Caenorhabditis elegans: one gene and its partners. The protein of the gene in region 3 interacts with the protein of the main gene of each other region in a biochemical or structural test. Each region holds a gene or a part of one and is shown on either strand. Other genes may lie near its edges.

The links.
Region 1: the proteins of icp-1 (region 3) and air-1 form a complex in vitro, tested with the Caenorhabditis elegans proteins (one study listed by BioGRID).
Region 2: the proteins of icp-1 (region 3) and csc-1 form a complex in vitro, tested with the Caenorhabditis elegans proteins (one study listed by BioGRID).
Region 4: the proteins of icp-1 (region 3) and air-2 form a complex in vitro, tested with the Caenorhabditis elegans proteins (4 studies listed by BioGRID, with this or other methods).

The regions. Positions count from the first base shown.
Region 1 is NC_003283.11:8,219,674-8,224,891, forward strand, and holds air-1 (Aurora kinase), read left to right. Parts: upstream 1-1,814; 5' UTR 1,815-1,827; coding exon 1,828-1,878; intron 1,879-1,922; coding exon 1,923-1,984; intron 1,985-2,029; coding exon 2,030-2,215; intron 2,216-2,268; coding exon 2,269-2,412; intron 2,413-2,456; coding exon 2,457-2,565; intron 2,566-2,607; exon of another isoform or gene 2,608-2,776; intron 2,777-2,840; coding exon 2,841-3,068; intron 3,069-3,105; exon of another isoform or gene 3,106-3,300; intron 3,301-3,364; coding exon 3,365-3,565; 3' UTR 3,566-3,909; downstream 3,910-5,218. Other genes in the region: cogc-6 (Conserved oligomeric Golgi complex subunit 6), read right to left, coding at 1-362, 411-646, 693-1,206, 1,253-1,393, 1,442-1,531.
Region 2 is NC_003280.10:13,595,315-13,599,256, reverse strand, and holds csc-1 (Chromosome segregation and cytokinesis defective protein 1), read right to left. Parts: upstream 2,303-3,942; 5' UTR 2,302-2,302; coding exon 2,235-2,301; intron 2,182-2,234; coding exon 1,893-2,181; intron 1,835-1,892; coding exon 1,739-1,834; intron 1,681-1,738; coding exon 1,383-1,680; 3' UTR 1,310-1,382; downstream 1-1,309. Other genes in the region: fbxc-23 (FTH domain-containing protein), read left to right, coding at 2,714-2,766, 2,808-3,102, 3,564-3,746, 3,796-3,942. UniProt on the Caenorhabditis elegans protein: Component of the chromosomal passenger complex (CPC), a complex that acts as a key regulator of chromosome segregation and cytokinesis during mitosis.
Region 3 is NC_003279.8:2,303,686-2,309,092, forward strand, and holds icp-1 (Inner centromere protein ARK-binding domain-containing protein), read right to left. Parts: upstream 3,106-5,407; 5' UTR 3,102-3,105; coding exon 3,018-3,101; intron 2,971-3,017; coding exon 2,785-2,970; intron 2,735-2,784; coding exon 1,946-2,734; intron 1,895-1,945; coding exon 1,214-1,894; intron 1,160-1,213; coding exon 1,031-1,159; 3' UTR 828-1,030; downstream 1-827. Other genes in the region: tpxl-1 (TPX2 domain-containing protein), read right to left, coding at 1-514, 563-707; Y39G10AR.9 (WD_REPEATS_REGION domain-containing protein), read left to right, coding at 3,582-3,629, 3,719-3,807, 3,851-4,205, 4,277-4,856, 4,910-5,097; 5-cytosine rRNA methyltransferase nsun-4, read left to right, coding at 5,292-5,407.
Region 4 is NC_003279.8:5,935,850-5,940,185, reverse strand, and holds air-2 (Aurora/IPL1-related protein kinase 2), read right to left. Parts: upstream 2,710-4,336; 5' UTR 2,703-2,709; coding exon 2,635-2,702; intron 2,586-2,634; coding exon 2,477-2,585; intron 2,401-2,476; coding exon 2,033-2,400; intron 1,970-2,032; coding exon 1,696-1,969; intron 1,596-1,695; coding exon 1,497-1,595; 3' UTR 1,310-1,496; downstream 1-1,309. Other genes in the region: B0207.6 (GPN-loop GTPase 2), read left to right, coding at 3,242-3,400, 3,518-3,625, 3,783-3,981, 4,309-4,336. UniProt on the Caenorhabditis elegans protein: Serine/threonine-protein kinase component of the chromosomal passenger complex (CPC), a complex that acts as a key regulator of chromosome segregation and cytokinesis.

The DNA of each region.
Region 1 (5,218 bases), on a different chromosome or scaffold from region 3:
ATAAGTGGTTCCAAGACATATTCGTAGATCCTTTCTGGTTCAAGAAGAAGATTCAAATCTCCTGTTTTTACAGCAATTGAAATAAGCCCGTGATAAAGTGAAAGGCATTGCCGAACTTCTGGGACTGGAAGGAGATCATAGTGTGGTGATGTCATCTTTCTCATAAGTCCGTCCACGTGATGATTTATACCGGCAATACATACTTGACGAACTGTTTTGACGAGATCTGCGAGCATTATTGTAAAATAACTATCTTTTCGAATCAAAGTCTCGAACTTGTTTGCATAGAAAATTAAAATATTTCCCATTTTGAAAATTGTGATGGCATTTTTTTCTGTCGACAGCAGTTGCTCTACCCTAATCTGTAAACTATTATCATATATTATAGTCCAATAATTTAAACTTTTTACCTTGAACGGCGAAGTCAAAGATTTCAGGCATTCATCAAGAACGATCGGAAGATTTTCTGCGGAACAAATTGAGCTGAACAACTGTTTTTCTTGCTCCGTGAGCTCGTGAATCGAAGTCAGCATATCTCCAACTGCCTTCAGTGGTTCTGCCAACCCTTCAGGCATTTGGACAGCCATTTTGTTAATTTCAACAAACTGATTGAGCAATTCTTGTGAGCGAGATGAAATGTATTGGTCTGAAAACTAGGTTAATGGTGAGTAGATTTGAAGAACTAAACGTACCAATGGCAAGCTGGAATACAGCATCATTCTGACTTATGATTTTGAAAGCTTTAGAAAGAATTTGCTTTTTCTGATGAGAATCAACTGTCAGATTTTGAAATTCGCGTTTCAGATTGTTACAGATAATTGCATGGCTTCTTTCGTCAATTTTTTGCATTTTTTCCATCACTTCAAAAGCGGCAAGATGTCCTTGCTCCTGAACCATATTTCTGCAGTTCTCGCGAATTTCGTGGCACCTCTCAAGAACTTTGAAGAAAAATTCCGATAGATGACCACTTTGTTCACATTCGTCTAATTCTCGAAGCTCTTCACTTGATAAAGAATAGTTTTCGAGAAATTCATTTATCATATTACAACGGCTTTCTATACTCGCTTTCTTCTCCTTCAAGCTTGCTGTTTTCTGCACCAAATCAACACTTTTGAACTTTACAGTCTCCATTTGCTTTGATAAATTCGTGCATGTGGAGTTCATTTTTACACAGAGCTCATCGAATTTTTGCACAATGTTATTTATCTGAAATAGCAGATTTAAAATGAAATGATTTCAGGTTTATTCTAACTTTTTCGAACTCGCTCAAATATTCCTTGTTTAGTCTCAACTCGTATCGTTCTAGTTTATTGTGTAGTTTCCTATCAACATTTGAATCAAGGTTCATATCTTCGACCAGTGGAGTGATGAAATCAGCAATTTTGATGCAATCCTGTAAGAAATGCCATAAGTTTCGTTTGTAATTAATATTTTAGCTGACCTTGTCATTATACAGCTTCTTTGCACATGCAGTAGTCACTTTTTCTCGTAAAGGATTGACTGCTGATGAAGTTTTATCGATTACTGACATTTTATTGATTCAAATTCACCGAATTCTGCGAAAAAAATCGCAGAACTCAGTGGAATAGAAAATGCAGAATTGATTTATTCGCAACGTGTCAGCAACGACACTCCGAAATAACAGAGCGCGTGTTGTTTAGCAATGCCGCTCAACAACCCGCCAAGCAAAATTCATTCAAAGTGACTGCCTTTGTTCTAATTTTTGACGTGTTCTTGAATTAGTCGCGATTTTCTTTTTCCTTTCTCATTAAATTTTTTATTCCTCAATTTTATTATAATATTTCAACTCGCAGAATTACATTAATCATGAGCGGAAAGGAAAATACTGCTCCTGTGATAGACGATCAGAAGGCCGAGGTAATTGTTATTAAAATTAGAAAGGCATCAATTCTAATCTTCAGGTTATTTCACTTACGGAAGATAGCAGACCTCAGAGAGTTGACCAGGCAAGGGAAGAATCATGGTGAGAATAATTGATTTATTACTTTTACAATGTAATGGACTTTAGCTGGAGTCTTGATGATTTTGACGTTGGACGGCCTCTCGGAAAAGGAAAGTTTGGAAACGTTTTCATCTCTCGTGAAAAAAAGACCAAGCGAATCATAGCTTTGAAAGTACTCTTCAAAACACAGTTGCTTCAACTTGGAGTCAGTCATCAGTTGAAGAGAGAGATCGAAATTCAATATCATTTGCGGTATGTTTTCTCGAAGTCATCTCATCCAAATCAATTAATCAATATTATTTCAGTCATCCGAATATTCTCACTCTTTATGGATACTTTCACGATGACAAGCGTGTGTTCGTCATTCTCGACTATGCCAGCAGAGGAGAATTATTTAATGTCCTCCAATCACAACCTGGACACAAAGTGAATGAGGTCATTGCCGGAAGGTGTGATTTTGTAGATATTTCAGAAATATAGTAAATTTCCTCAGATTTGTGCGACAGCTGGCCAATGCGTTGCATTACTGCCATTCGAAAGGAGTTATTCACAGAGACATTAAGCCTGAAAATCTTCTTCTTGATTCGAAGCTCAATCTGAAGGTACGCGTATAAATATGGTTAACTAAGTACTCAAAAAGTCTTCTGCAATGTTCTCAGTGCATCCTTTGGTTCTCCGAGCCGAAAGAAGTCACTAGCTGAAAAAGAGTTTATACTCTGATCACACAGTAACATTGCAATAAAAGCTTAGCTCGAGATGCGTGTGCCGTTCTGCTTTTAATGCGATCTGGTTCCTTTTCTCCTCGGGACAATTACCGTAAAAATTAAATTCAACACATTTTATGCATTCTTTCTAAAAAATAAGACTTGTATTTCAGCTTGCCGATTTCGGATGGTCCGTCGTTGCTGATCACTCGAAACGCCATACATTGTGCGGTACCATGGATTATCTTGCTCCGGAAATGGTTTCCAATCAGCCACATGACTTTAATGTTGACATTTGGGCAATTGGAATTCTTCTCTTCGAAATGCTTGTTGGATATGCTCCGTTCGCCAATCAAACTGGTGATAAATTGATCGCCAGAATCAAGGAGTGCAAGATTTATGTTAGTAATTATGAACTAAATTTGTTAGAATCTTAATAAGCAGTTCTCCAACAGAAATATGTGCATGAAGTGATGGTTTGGGTAACCATTTCATCTTTTCATGTCATATATCTCCTGCCTCTCACGGTTTCATCTGTGAGAAGCTTCAAAGAACTGCAATAGAAGTCTAGCTCGAGATGCGTGTGCCGGTTTGCTTTTAATGCAATATGGTTCCTTTTCTCCTCGGGACAGTTCTCAAACATTCATTTCCATTTTGTTTCCCAAGTAGTTTCATCTAAATTGCTTCTTTTTTGCAGATTCCAAGTGTTGTGACTGACGGAGCTGCCAGTTTGATAAATGCAATAATCAAAAAGGAACCCCAAGAACGTCTCCCACTTGTTGACATCATGGCTCATCCGTGGATTAAGGAAATGAAGCAACGCGAAGACATTGAAGTTCCACTCTTCATTTCGACGCTCACGAAATCCAGTCGCAATAATTCTACAGCCAATCAATAAAAGCTCTGTCTATTGTCCATTAAAGTCTCAACCTTTTCTACTTGTCTTTCCAAACAATTATCATCTGCACTTTCCCTTCTTTAGAACCGTATATCATACGGCTACTAACTTCTTATTTTCGCTAATCCATTTAAGCAATTTATCCGTTTTCATCCTTTTGTTTCTTCTCACACTGACAACGAGAAGGATTTAAATTTATCTAAATCAATTATTCTTTATTTGTGTGTGTGTAAAATCATTAGATTCCCGTGAAAGTACTGTATCGTGTGTTCCCGTCTGCCCCATTAATTTTTTCCCAAATTTCGCATCCAAGTGTCTCGATTATCACATAAACGATGGTGCACCTCTTTGTTCATTGGTTCTCAGAAGAAATACAATGCTTTCTGCTAAAAGCCAAAACTCAAACAGTGGTGGCGGTAAGTAGAAGGCTGCCGCCTTTTTTGGCACTGTTTTGTTCCGCCAAAAAAGTAGCATGGTATGCAAACATTATAACGAGTTAACACTACATTGGTAGGAGTGGGAACGTTTTTTGGAACAGCTAAAGTTTGAAACATAAAGCGGAGGTTTAACAACGTTAAGTGGTATCTGGCAGAGAGCCTTAAATATCGTACATTCGCAAAAACTTTATCCTAGCTAGGTGCTATGTGCTACATGAAAAATTCTAGTTTTTTCTGTACATTTCAGAATTTCAAAATTCGTATAGTACATTTTCCATATCAAATGAAAAAATCTGTAAATTTTGGAACCTCACTATGACTGAGTTCGTGCCGAGACCCACTCAGGAAAACATCGTGTGCCTTTTAACTGATATCTCAGCATTTCGTGAAAATACAATATAAACATTTCTTTCTAATGTTTAATAATAACTGTAATCCTTGAAATGAACTGATCAATTAGATACTAGAATAATGCACAAAAATGTTTAATATTTGCGCGAATAACTGGTCGTTACCATCTGGTTGTTACATATCCGGTGATTACTAACCATTTATTTGATGGAGATTTGGATATATGTAGTCAATTTAGGTGAGTACAAACAAGATGACCCGTAGATATGCACTAGAGGTGTTTGTCAAGTGGTTGATTGGATATGACGATATTACGTTGCTCAATTTTTTGAATTTTTATATTTATCTGTTTTCATAAACAATTTAGCAGCTAGAAAAAAACAGTGACATTTCTCAGGTGTCCGTGTGTTCCATGCCTTCGAAATCGAAGAAAATCACGCAGTCGTTGGTGGAAAAGCAATGCCGTCACATGTGGACTGAGATGTACTAAAAAACCTAAGAATAAATACCGTATCAACACCTGGATTTGACAAGTTTATGTCAAAACAGTTTATTCTTCAGAAATTAACACCACAGGAGTCTATAGGCTTCGAAAAGATTTGTGACGTCAGATATTTAAACCACGAGCTTCCACGACTTCAGATGTTAAAACACACCCGTGTAACTTCATCCTTAAATGGAATCATGGGTAAAACATTGTCAAGTTCAACTGCCTACAGTAACCAACAATCATATTCCCACCGGCTGGTTCCTATTTGGCAAAGTCCCATCGTTTCCCCCTAATAATCTCAACAAATACCTATGCAGCTACTGTTTGCCCCCCCCCCCTTGCCTTATAATAGGCGGAGCCTTGAGAGCTTTGAGA
Region 2 (3,942 bases), on a different chromosome or scaffold from region 3:
CTGGTAATCTGATCATTCAGCTCCGAAGGATAAGAAGGGTACCTCCTGGTGATCTGATCCTTCAGCTCCGAAGGATAAGAAGAGTACCTCCTGGTAATCTGATCATTCAGCTCCGAAGGATAAGAAGGGTACCTCCTGGTGATCTGATCCTTCAGCTCCGAAGGATCAGAAGGGTACCTCCTGGTGATCTGATCATTCAGCTCCGAAGGATAAGAAGAGTACCTCCTGGTAATCTGATCATTCAGCTCCGAAGGATAAGAAGGGTACCTCCTGGTGATCTGATCCTTCAGCTTCAAAGGATAAGAAGGGTACCTCCTGGTGATCTGATCATTCAGCTCCGAAGGATAAGAAGAGTACCTCCTGGTAATCTGATCATTCAGCTCCGAAGGATAAGAAGGGTACCTCCTGGTGATCTGATCCTTCAGCTCCGAAGGATCAGAAGGGTACCTCCTGGTGATCTGATCATTCAGCTCCGAAGGATAAGAAGAGTACCTCCTGGTAATCTGATCATTCAGCTCCGAAGGATAAGAAGGGTACCTCCTGGTGATCTGATCCTTCAGCTTCAAAGGATCATAAGCCGCACTTCACGCGGTTTTATTTATCTCAAACAAAAATTTTTTGGTAAAAAACTTTCAACTACAAACTTGTTCTTTACAACAATATCAACAACTTATCAGTTGATGACTTTTCTGTAAAAACTTTATCTACGGAAATATTTAATTCCGGCAATTTGCCGATTTGCCGGAAATAATCATTTACGGCAATTTGCCGATTTGCTGGAAATTTCAATTCCGGCAATTTGCCGATTTGCCGGAAATACTCAATTCCGGCAATTTGCCGAATTACCGGAAATACTCAATTCCGGCAATTTGCCGATGTTCCGGAAACATTTAATACCGGCAATTTGCCGATGTTCCGGAAACATTTAATTCCGGCAAATTACAGATTTGCCGCAAATATTCAATTCCGGCAAATTACAGATTTGCCGCAAATATTCAATTCCGGCAAATTACAGATTTGCCGGAAATCTTCAATTCCGACAGTTTGGCGTCCACCGCTGATGTAAAACACAAAAAGAATTAGCGTAAGTTGAACAAAATCGCGGATTCTTGTCAAAAACTGTTTAAATAACTAGTTCACAGTTGTCCAAGAGTAGTACAAGAAGGCTGGAAGTTTTCTTTCCGATTTTCTCTGAAAAAAAACTAATTTTTTTTCGATTTTTTGCAGTCAAATTTTTTGCAGTCTATTTAGAGAATCAAACGATCGTTGAGATCAAAAAATTTGCATATAAAAGGTAAAAGACGGGAAAAATTGAAATATCAAGTATTTACAGATCATTATAAAAATTAAAGCGGGGGAAAAATTAAATCGGGGGATTTTTCCTATACAGACGTCCCGGCATTTTCAGTTTCCGGCTGGAGAGGCCCGGCTGCTGCCGCTGCCTTCTTGCTCGCCGCACCAGATTTCTTCGACTTCTTCCGATTCTCCTTGCCAGCAGCAGTAGCAGTAGTTCTTCCAGCCAAGACCAGTGGCGATCCGTTCACCGAGAAGGCGATTTCCTCGTCAACGTGTGGAGCACGGAATGGCTTTTCCGGTTGAAGTGTTGGCAGTGGGAGCACTTGTCCAGCTGGCGTTATGATCTCGTTGCGGCGGTGCTCGTCGGCCGCCGTGTTCCTGCCGCTGAAAAAAAATTAATTTATTTATTGAGAAATCGATTTTTTTTTTGTTGAAAACTTACGAGTTCTGGCCAGATGGAGCAATCGGAATGCTCGTCTCATGCGCCGCATCGTCGTCGATTTCAGGCTCCTGCTTGACCTGCACCGTGTTCCGGCCGCTGGAAAATTTATTGATAAAAGTAAATGGCGGAAATTTGGATTTTTTTGAAAACTTACGAGTTCTGGCCAATCGGAATGCTCGTCTTTTGCGCCGCCGCCGCGTCGTCGATTTCCATGTCAGGCTCGGAAGGAAGCTCCTGCTTAACCGCCACCGCCGCTTCTCCTTCCTCCTCCTCCTCGCCGGATTCAATGTAGAAATCATCCGGTGGCGATGCCAGAAACTCCATGATCGGCATATCCCTGTATTTTGGCTTGATTGTGGCGATGATCCGGTCGGATTCAGCCTTTGCTGTCTGAAGGGCGACCTCCCGCAGCTTCTTCTTATACTCCTCGAGTAAGTCCTTGACTGGAAAATAAATTATTTAAATATAATAAATTACTGGAGATCTTCAAGCTTACCACGCGTCTCGAGAGTATCCGCCATCGCAACCACAGCCGGGTCCTTCTTGATCTTGCGTGGTGGCATTCTGAAGAAAATAATGAGAAATAATCGGAGAAAATCGAATTTTTGAGGGAAATTAACGTGAAAATTAACTTTTTTAAGGTAAAAATCACAAAAGAAATCGAAAAATGCGTGGAAAATGAGAAAAATGGCGGAAAAAATTATAAAATTAATCGAAAAATTTTCGCGCTCGCATTCGGTGTTTGCGGACTGCGTACCGTACCCCACGCGCAAAAGAAGGAAACAGGTCTGGAATAAAGATTTATAAAGACAAACTTATGAAAACATGATTTGAAATATATTTTTTACCGTTTTTCCATTTGCATACACTTGATACCAACTAGAACAATTAATTTTCACTGAAGAAAATTTCGTAGCAAGAAATTTCGCAATTTTGCCTTTTTTGCTGCAATTATTGATAATATTTCAGCTTAAAATGTATTCTGAAAGCGTCCCATGCATATTCAAATATTTATCATTTGACAAGAAGTGGGTTTTATTTTAGAATCCATTTGAAAACACGATTACAGAAGCCATCTTGCAAATTTCAACTCGATATTTCGCAAGCTTGAAAAAAAGCTTCCCTATCACTTTAATTGTATAAAAATCGATACAACAAGGGAGGACTGGCACTTTTCGATTGATAAAAAATATAATTTCAATATTCAAACTGCTCAGCTTGGCGCCAACGTTTTATTCGGTGGAGTTCAACAATTCGGAATTTTAATTGCAAGTCCTGAAGATTCACAGACTGAAACCTTTCGGAAATTGGTGGATTTCTATTTAAATCGACCAGGAACAAGTATTCATACACTGCAAATTCTGGTAATTCTTACGCGATTATGTGTGCGCCTTTAAAGAGTACTGTAATTACAAATTTTTGTGTTATCTAGTTTTTTCTATAATTTGTTGGAAATTTGGGGTTTTTAATTATTTTCTTCTAGTTTTCACAGATTTCTGGCTTCCCTCATAAATTGAAATGGAAGAGTTTAGGCCGAACTAGTCCATTTTGGCTCGGCCATATCTGGGGTAGATTTAAGGTGCGTTGCGTGTCGCGTCGCGGCTCGGTTTTAGTTGTAAAACGAAATGTACGTGTCCGTGTGGAGTACACGACTTTCCCACGCGTTGTCCAGCGGGAGATTATCAATGGAGCGCGAAAAATTCAATGAGCAAGGCCAGGATCCCGCGTGAGCAACGAAAGTTTTCAATTACAGTGCTCTTTAAAGGCGCACACCTTTTATCAATTAACGAAATTTTGTCGTGACGAGACCGTCGTGCGTTTGCAGAATCATCCATATGGTCTCGAGGCGTGCTGCCAATTGAATATTCGACACATTTTTGTAAGAATGCGGATTGAATCCCTGAGATATGACTACACGACCTGGTTTGATTGCCTCCGAGCTCGCCCGTTCGAGACGGCGGAGGTGGATTTTGTTGGAATGGATTACTTGATTCTGGCGGAGCCTGTGGTAGAGTCTGAAATTTGAAAATTCACAGAAATTTGTTGTTTCCTTCCAGATATATTCAGCCAAGAAGCTGTGTATAAAATCATCACGTGCAATTCCGATTCGCGCGATTTCAAATCTCCAATCTCCTTGGATATTCTTAGATTATAATATGACCTCCCCGAAAGTTGTAAATCTCTGCGAAAACTGGATTCAGGAC
Region 3 (5,407 bases):
CCGGTATTTGCAATTGGCGCGGAGATGGTGCGAGTGACAGAATTGTGAGGTGGACGTGGCACAGATGGTGCTCGTGGAGCTGCTGCAGCTGGCTCACGCGACATTGAACGTTTCGTGCTGATCGAGCGAGAACGAGTTCCGGACGCTGGAGCAATGACGGATGTCCTCTTATCTTCCTCTTCTTTCTTTCTCTGCTCTGAACGGCGACGCTGCGAAAGACGTTCCTCTGGAGCTTTTGGTGCAAACATTGACAATTTCTCAAGTCCCTCGATTAGCTGATTTTCTCCACCGCTTCCTGAAGCTGATGCGTCCTCGTTTGGCACGATTTTGAGTGGTTCTCTGATTGGTTGCTGCTGCTTCTCTTCTGTGTTGTCATTTTGACTTGCGTTGATTACAGTGGATTCCGATGAAGACGAAAGAAGATTATCGATAGTTGGAGATGGGAGATCATCATCGGATTCCCGCTTCGTCTTGGGAAGTTGCATTTTGACCGGCGTGTCGCATTCCAGGCTTGCTGGAAATTAAAACTTTATTATGAAAAATAATATTTGAATAGTCTTACGAAAGTGATTTTCGAAGTATGACGTCTCACACGGCTGGTCTCTGCTCGGCGAGCTCGATAATCTCGAATAGTCCTTGACTTTCGGTACAGCAAAGCTGCTGAAGAAATTCTCATCGAATTCCTGAATGGTTTGACTTTTGCTCATCCTATAAGAAAGAAATAAATGATAATTTGAATTCTAACTGATAGAAAAATAAATAAATAAATAAACTCGTGAATTCAGAACACGTTAATCAATGAGTGAACAATAAAATAAAAATCGGCTGAAGAATTATTATTTACAGCGAAAAAAAAATTTAATGTAAAGTTAGGGCCGATGGAGTTTTTGTATTCTCCGTTAAAAAGGGGGAAACATTGAAAATAAAAAATAACTCAATACGAAATATAAAAACATTTTACAATTTTTGAAAAAAGATTATGTCGCATGCTGGAGCGACTCCTGGCGATGTAAGCTGCTTCGGTACAACATCATTCCGAAATGTCTTGAAGAATTGTGCGAGACGACGTGTTTAACGTTGATGGACTCTTTTTCCACACTGCTGACGATCCGCGCTTCTTGACTTTGACAGCATCACTAAAGATTTCCTTTAGATTTGGCTGAAAATTTTTAAATTTTTACTGAAGGAGCTGCAAGAAAAAAAAAACAATTACCTTTCCAATCGATCCGAAGAATTGAGCCACGTCGAATGGTGGATTAATGGCATGTCTTCTGACATTCTCACGGACAACTGCGAATTCGGCCCAAGCCGGGACATCTTTGCGTGGATCATCTTCTTGATCTGTCTCGTCATCACTGTTAAGATCGTTCAAACCATAGTCATTCTTTGAGTTGTTTTGATAGGTACGTGGCGGAGTCATTTCGTAGGCTGCAGGTGGTGGCGTTTTTCGAAGAGCTTCCTGACGAGCTTGTTTCTCCGCGCATCTTGCGAGTGTTGCCTGGAGCTCTGCCTCTTCTCGCTCTCTTTGCTTCTCCAGCTGAGCTTGCTCTTCTCTCTGAACGGCCAGAAAATGCTCCTGCTCTTCTCGAGCTCTGAGTTGACGCTCCTTCTCCGCTTTCTCTTTCATTTCCTTCTGCTCCCGCTTTCGTCGTTCATCTTCTGCTAACTGTAGCAGATACTGCTCCTGTTCCAGCTGAATACGTTGCTGTTCCTGAAGAGCGGCAAGTGCGGCAGCAGCTTCAACATTTGATGTAGAAGACGAAGCTGCGTGGGCCGATCGTTTCGTCGCTTTCGCCTTTGGTTTATGTTGACGCGCCGGTGGAGTTGAATCATCACAGCTCATCGGCTCCATTTTGACTTGCCGGCTACCGTTTCGTTGCAATTCTCGGGAAGGCTGAAATGAGTTAAATTATTATTAGGAAAATACAATCAAGTAAATACTCACCGATAGTTCAACGGTCGGCTGAGCCACAGGAGCAGTCTTCTGTCCATCTGAGCCAATTAGAATCTCAACTTTTCCCTTCTTAGCAGGGCCTCGACCAGGAGTGGATGTGCTTTCCGCCGTTGGGAAGATTTTTCTACTTGCAGCCTTGTTTGGAGCATGGTCTTGCATCAAACGAGCTCTTGTTGGCGACTTTGCACTGTTGTGAAGTTTCGCCAAATTAGCATTACGCTCTTCCTTTTGCTTCAACTGGTCGAGCTTTTCCTGACGAACTCTTTCCTGCTCTTTTCTGCGCTCCATGACAGCATTCCGCTTCTCCTCGTCCTTCCGTGCTTTCTCCCTTTTCTTCTCGAGCTCTTTCATCCGGAGCTCATCAGCATGCTTCATCCTTGCATTCGGATCTTTTTCTGCATCATTGAACGGAATCACACGATGGGGCGTCCTTGGAACCACAGCTGCACGGCCGGGAGTTCCTGCCATACGTCCAGGTGTTGACGAGAAAATGTTGCGCGGAGTAGCTTGATTGTGAGCCTCACGCGGTGGATTTCTGCGAGGAGTGCCACTGTACGCTGCATTTCGTGAGATGCTTCCTTCGGTCTTCTTTTTGGATATGCTCATTTGCTGCATGCGCTTCAACGTGACTGGCAATATGTCCTCTTCGAAATCACCATCAGTCGCTACTGAGCCGGCTCGTGGAGTGATGGGTCCTGCTTGATCTGTCTCGACTTCGTCGGTTTCCATATCATCATCTCCGCGGTGACTTGAACTGGACGGTTGAGCGGGTTTCGCTTTCTGAAAAAAATAAGCATTGACGGAATAAAGTAAATTTGAGATTTTCTTACCTGTCTTGAAATCAACTCAACAAACTCAGCATCAATGCGTCCGGGTTTTAGGACGGCATTTAATAGCTGTTCCGCCGAGAATTGAGGCGTGGCCAGTTCTTCTGTGATCGAGGACATCCTCTTGTACAGATCTGCGAAAACTTTTGCAGCCGCGTCGTCATGAGCCTCGCTTACTTCATCGAATATCTGAAAGAAATATTTTATATCAAAAGAAATTATTCATAAACACAAACCGACGAAATTTTCGGGATACTCGAAAACAGTTTGATGGTGGGCTCGGCTGGCTTTCGCGAGACTGCGCGCTTTTTTGGTGGCATCTTTCTGGAAAAAAAAACTGATTTAAACTCTGTAAAATTTTCGAAAAGATGAACAAAAGTCGAAAAACGAGCGGGAAAACAATGGGAGGGCTGACAATTCGAATGGAAACGATTCCCGCGCGTGCGCAAACATAGTAGGGTGTACAATAGAGCAGGGTTGCCAAGCGCCTCATTCGACAAAAACAAAGATGTTTAAATAGATGTTTCGGCTATACAAATTATTCAGAAACTGCTGGACAAAGTTGGAGAAAAGTAAGATTTTAAAGGAAAAAACAGGTTTTTAAACGAGATTGGAGTGTTATAACGGGAATTGTTGAGTTTTTAAGTGATAGATTTTAATTTTTCATCCAAAAATTACGAAAGTAGTCTCAAAAACACGATAAAACTTTAAGAAATTCCCAGAAATTCGCCTAAAAAACAAAAAAACCCGCTTTGCGAAATCCTAAATATCTCACCACGAAAACCTACCATCAAAGCCGCATGGCCATAAACGGTAGTAAAGGCATCGGCACGACTTTGCAAACTACGGTAGATATTTTCTTTTATCATTCTTAATAGTTTTCAGAGAGAAAAATCGCTTTTATGTATTCTTTCCCTCCTAAAACTGATTATTCCAGATAAAAATGGAAGCTGAAACAGCCCAAAATCCATCGAAAAACATTGACGAAACGCTTTCAATTCAACATGATTGGCACCTCAATTTGAGGTAAATTAATATACATTTCCATGGAAATTTATTTTTTTTTCAGAGAACCAGTCTCGCAGTTCTACCTCGGAATCAAGAAATTCGAGGCTACGAAAACCGAATTCTTCCAAGTACAGATCACAAAGCTTGTTGATGAGTACGGATTCGCTGTGATGCCAGAGGAAGGCTCAATTAAATCTTCCGACTTCACTGATGTTTCTCTCGATGAGCATAAAAATCTACATGTCACTTTCCAAGGGAGAACCACAATTTTCGTCGGTCCTACCAGTGAGCAGAACCTCCGAGGGCTACAATCAGCGCCGCGCTCGTTCGACGTTTCATGTACCGGAAGCACTTTTGTTGCAGCTGATTCGAGCGGAAAGCTGATCATTGCGAATTCGAGAACTGCCGAGACTCTAGTGGGTCTTTAAAAACAATATTTTAGCGCAAAATTTTGATGATTTTCACCTGAAAATTTAATAATTTTCAGACAGAACTCACCGGCCACACTATGGACATCTACCGCTGCATGTATTTCCCGTCGGGTCTCGTCGTTATTGGCGGTGGAATGGATATGGCGATCAGAGTATGGGCAGTGGATAAAGTGCCGGCTCAGAAGACGTTCGTCGGGCACACAAAGGCAGTAACAGGCTTCGGGATCATCGGAGTTGGACGAGAGTTCCTCTCGTGCTCCAACGACGGAACAGTACGATTTTGGAGCTGCAAAAATGCTGCGCCAACCGAAACATGGAGCTTCGAGAAGGGAAAATGCATTGACATGGCAATGTCAGTGGATGACTCGAGATTCGCTGTCATCTGCGAAAACAATTTCCTATCAGCGATTGATCTGCACGGCGACAAGATTCGGCGTGATATTCAGCTTCCTTCCGTTCCTACGGCTCTCTGTTTTTCCGGAGATGAAGGTGGAAAAGCGGTGTTCGTCGGGTTTGAGGATGGCCACGTGGCGGCCTATAACGTGTCGGATCGCCGGTTAATCGGGGAAATTGTCACCAAAAAAGGAAGCGTCACCTGCCTCAAATACTATTGCAATCGACTAATTGCATCATTCAGTGAGAAAATATGAGCTTCAAACTTTATATTTAAAAAATAAATTAATTTTCAGCCACCGGAAATGTTCTCGCCTTTCCGATCCTTTCCCTTCCCACCTCGTCAAGCATCATCTCCGCCGAGTACGAGCTAACCGGTGCCGATTGTGAGCCGGTGTACGATATGGCGATTTATCAGAAGAATATTTATACATGTTGTCGTGATGGCAAAATTCGAACTTACAAGGCGCAATGGAGCTTGTAATTGAGTATTATTATATATTTCTTATGTTTAACTATTATTGAACTACATATTTTTGAATATAAATCTGTGATTAACCGGTAGAAATCCCAATTTATTTTGTTTTTAATTTGGTCCTAAAACCTTTTATTTCATCAGTTTTACCAATTTTCCCTTTTTTTTTCTAAAATTACTTGAATAAGTAAATTTAATTCAGAATGAGCTGTCTGCGACAATCCTCACAATCGTTCTATTTCACTCAAATTAGATGGAAAACTGTCAAGTTCAAGACAAAAATCGCAAAAACGAAGCCACTGAAAACGCCATCAGCCCA
Region 4 (4,336 bases), 3.6 Mb from region 3:
TCGTACTTGACTTCTACATAGTTCCAAATACGAATAAACGCAGAAACCAACACATAAAAAAATCATTTTTTGTTGAAAATAACCGTGACTCAAGAAGTTTCAGGTAAGAAGAGTGTTAGGAGATCGATGATTGTCGATTCGGCAGCAGCTGATTTTTCAATATCCGCATTCGAAAAAAAGTGAGACGTCACTACTTGGACTATTTTTAATTGATTATTCAGTTAGCTAAGTACGTCGAAATTTCAGGTTCATTAATTGAAAAATCATAAGGTTCACAAACATTGGAATCAGAGTGCTCCGCCAGTCATACTTTTGGCTATTTTCGTCGATTACCCTAGTTTAATAGAATTTTCGAATTTTTGGCTATTTTTGGCTATATTTTGCTATAATAAAATGAACAACAAAATTTCACGAAAAAATGATTGAAAACGAGTGAAATCAACGAAACTGAATGAAAATTTTGGAAAAATAATACATTTACGTATTTTCCGCAAATACCTAACGAGACCCAAATTATCGGGGCGGAGTCTTTCTATTTGGCGTTGGAGCGCGATTGCATTCTGATTTCAAAAGATGCGTTATTCACAAGTGAAAAATGAAACTTTAATTTTCTTAATCAGACAAAAAATGTGAGATTTTTGAAGAAATCGGAGAAAACGGTTCAGCAATTAGCATGAGTTCTCAAATAAAAATGTGTTCTCAGAAATCTCGAAAGAAAATAAAAAAATTAGAAAATTCTAGTTGTATAACTAAATTATAGCCAAAGTACCACATCATCGAAACCTATAATTACACCGCCCGCGCTTAATCGGTAAAAGTTCCCTGTAATTTAAAAATTTAATTTAATTTTTTGTTGTCCAGAATGACATCTTGTGAAATATGCTTTGTTTGAGAAAAACAACTTTTTGAAAATGTCCCCGCACCACTTACTGAAAAAATTATAAGTTTTCGAGGACTTAAAAAGGGCACAAGAAGTGCTTGAAATTGTTGGAGCACGTGAATTTCAAAAACCTCATGTTTTGAAATTTCAAGTGTACTCAGTACTAAGCTTAGTTGTTATTTTTCCTTTTGGGACTATAAAGTCGCACGGTGTGATAAAATAATCCTAAAGAAAATCGAAATTTTCTTGTCGCTTTTAAATTTTATTTTTTTTTTTTTCTCAAAAATCTAAAAATGCAAATGAACCTCAACGAAAAGAAGCAGCTGCTCCGAGTGCGAGTCTACGCGACATCTGAAAAAGGAGAAAATCTCGGGAGGTACTAATTGAGTTGTTGTAGATATATTGAGAAAGATGGAGAACGAGAAAAGAAAATAAATTTATGTTGAATGAATGGGGTTAGACGATTGGGAATAATAGAGTTCGCGAAACAAAAACTACATGAAAAATTGGTTGACAAGTTATTTCACTTTTTAAAATTTCTAGTAAATGTGATGAGATCCTTTATTTGACAGACAGACGAGATGATTGAAAGAAGGACGGGAAAATCAGTAGTTGATCAGTGATTCCGAAGACTTGCTTCTTTTTCAATCTTTTGCTGCTTCTCAGCTCTAATTTTTGCCTCCATCATTCCCTGGATCCAGTAGTGTTCCTTCACCTGTAATAATTTAATGAATTATGATAATTAAGAACACTACAAAAGTGTACTTCTGTGTGCTGATAATATGTTGGCCACTAAGCTGAAATCAATAACAAACCTGTTCAAGCGTACAGCGAGCCTTGGGATCAACGACAAGCAATCTTCCAATCAAATCTCGTGCACCCTTCTTCACAGAATCAGGGTAAGTAAACCGTGCCGCTTTGATTGCCGCATATGTCTTGGACTGATCTTCGTGCTCGAATGGGGGTTTTCCAACGAGAAACTCATAGCAGAGAACGCCGATTGCCCATAAGTCAACTGCGTCACTGTGATCGGCTCCATTCACCATTTCAGGAGGGAGATAGTCCATTGTTCCGCACATTGTTTGGCGCCTGAAAACATGACAGTGAATTTTTGGAAACATCTAGATTTCCTAAATTTGAGGATAAACTCACTTATTCGAAGGAGCATGAACACTCCATCCAAAATCTCCAATTTTCAATTCTCCTTGTGATCCGATAAGCAAATTCTCCGGTTTAATGTCGCGATGAATCACATTTTTCCTGTGGCAATATGACAAAGCATCTGCGATCTCATACATATATTTTGCAGCTGTTGGCTCTGAGAATCTCTTGCTCACTGTCAATTGCTTGTACATTTCGCCTCCGGGGGCATATTCCAAAACGAGATAGATCTTCTTCGCATCCCAAAAATATGTGTAGAGCTTGATAATATTCGGGTGATTCAAATGAGATTGAATCTCAATTTCACGCTCCAATTGATGCTCGACGCCTCCTGAGATGAGTTGCGATTTGAATAGAACCTGAAAATATGTATGGGTAAAACGGATGTCAGAAAAATGATAATTCAAATAAATACAAAATAAATCAATATGTTACCTTGATCGCTACATGGAAATGTCCAGTTTTTGTGCGAGCCAGGTAAACACTGCCGAATTTTCCTTTTCCCAGTGGTCTTCCGATCTCGAAATCGTTAATAGTAAATTTTCTGTAAAATCAAGAATAATTTATAAACTTTTAAAACCTTGATTTCTTACCCTCCCTTCTGTGGAGTATTCACAGTTTCCTTCTCTGGAAGGTTGATTACAGGTGGCTTATTCTCCATGTCGGAACTGAAAAGTTTTTTATGAAGAAATAAAATAGACGGCACGATTAAGGACAAATTAACTAAAAGAAAACATCACGATAAATTTATAAATTGAATTAATTAGAAGTTCAATGGCCCAATTTTTAATTGAATACATTTAGATATTTATGTAGAATAAAAATAGGACTAATTCTGCTTTGATTTCAAAAAAAAGTGAGAAATCAACACATTACCTGAGTAAATATGTTTACAAAAAACGAGTTTTGATTGCAAATAATTCTAAAGAAACTAAAAATTGTCAGCTGGATAGTAAGGAGAAATGCAAGCCGTTTAAATAAAAAATTAACGCGGCAAAATGCAATGGTCCGCAATATGTCGTCATGTACGGTGTAAATGCGTACTTGGCCCTGTGCCAGGCCCGTTTATCCTGCTTTTTTGTTTGTTTTAAATTAAATTAAATTGTATTTATATATTTTTGTTCTTCTTAAATGTTTTCCTATCAAAACAATCCGTAGAAAATTAAGATTCAACTAGAAAATTTCAGTACTCATTGGACTATGTACGGAGTTCTTGTAATTGGAGCTCCTGGAGCTGGAAAATCTACATTTTGTGCAGGATTAACGGACATTTTCTCACAAACCAAACGACCATTTCTCACTATCAATCTTGATCCTGCTAATGACACAATGGCATACGCACCTGATGTAAATATCACTGTAAGTATTTTATTCCAATGAATATAGGACAATAATTATGAAACGTGGTACAGATCATCTATCAATGTTATTTTAATACTTAAGGTCATATTTTTCATTTAAAATACTAAAGTTTAGGAAATGATCACTGTGAATGATGTAATGGATCGACTTGGACTTGGACCAAATGGAGCTCTCAAATACTGTATTGAAACACTTGGAGCTAATTGTAATTGGCTCCTCCAGGTAATTTTTTTGGCAGAAAAAGTTAATTCTCAAAAGCTAAAAATTGTTTTCACAACAATTGAGCTAAAATCTGGAATTCTCTAAATTTGAATCGAGAAAATCGGAAATCATTTTTAACCTCTTTGTAGTTTTAATATTCAATTAAATCTTTTTTCAGAAAATCGAAGCGAATCACAAGAAATATCTGATAATTGATTGTCCCGGACAGTTGGAACTATACAAAAGCGAAGGCGAACTATGGAAAGTTATCCGCTTTTTGGAAAAATCCGGTGTTAGACTATGTGCCTTACATCTTGCCGATTCACTTTACTGCAGTGACCCATCGAAATTCATTTCTGTTGCATTATCCACATTAGGTAAGAGTTCATTAAGATTAAAAAAAAATTGAAATACTTTTCTTGTCTCTCGACCCGAAATTTCCAAATATAATTCAGCTGATTTCCTCCAAAAAATGAAAATTTATTTTTGTTCTGTACAATTTTGAAACTCCATGGGCCTTTATGTATTTCTGGCTAAGAAATGCAATATCTTTCTGGCACATAAAACTTTCATTTAATCTGAAACCTATTTTTGTTATTTATTTGATTTTAGATGGAAAAAATTGAAATTCGGAACCACTTTAAATTTTGTGTGGCTGAAAGGAACAAATTAAAATTATATTCATTAAAAAGCTTCAATTTCAGCGACAATGGTAACAATGGAGATGCCACA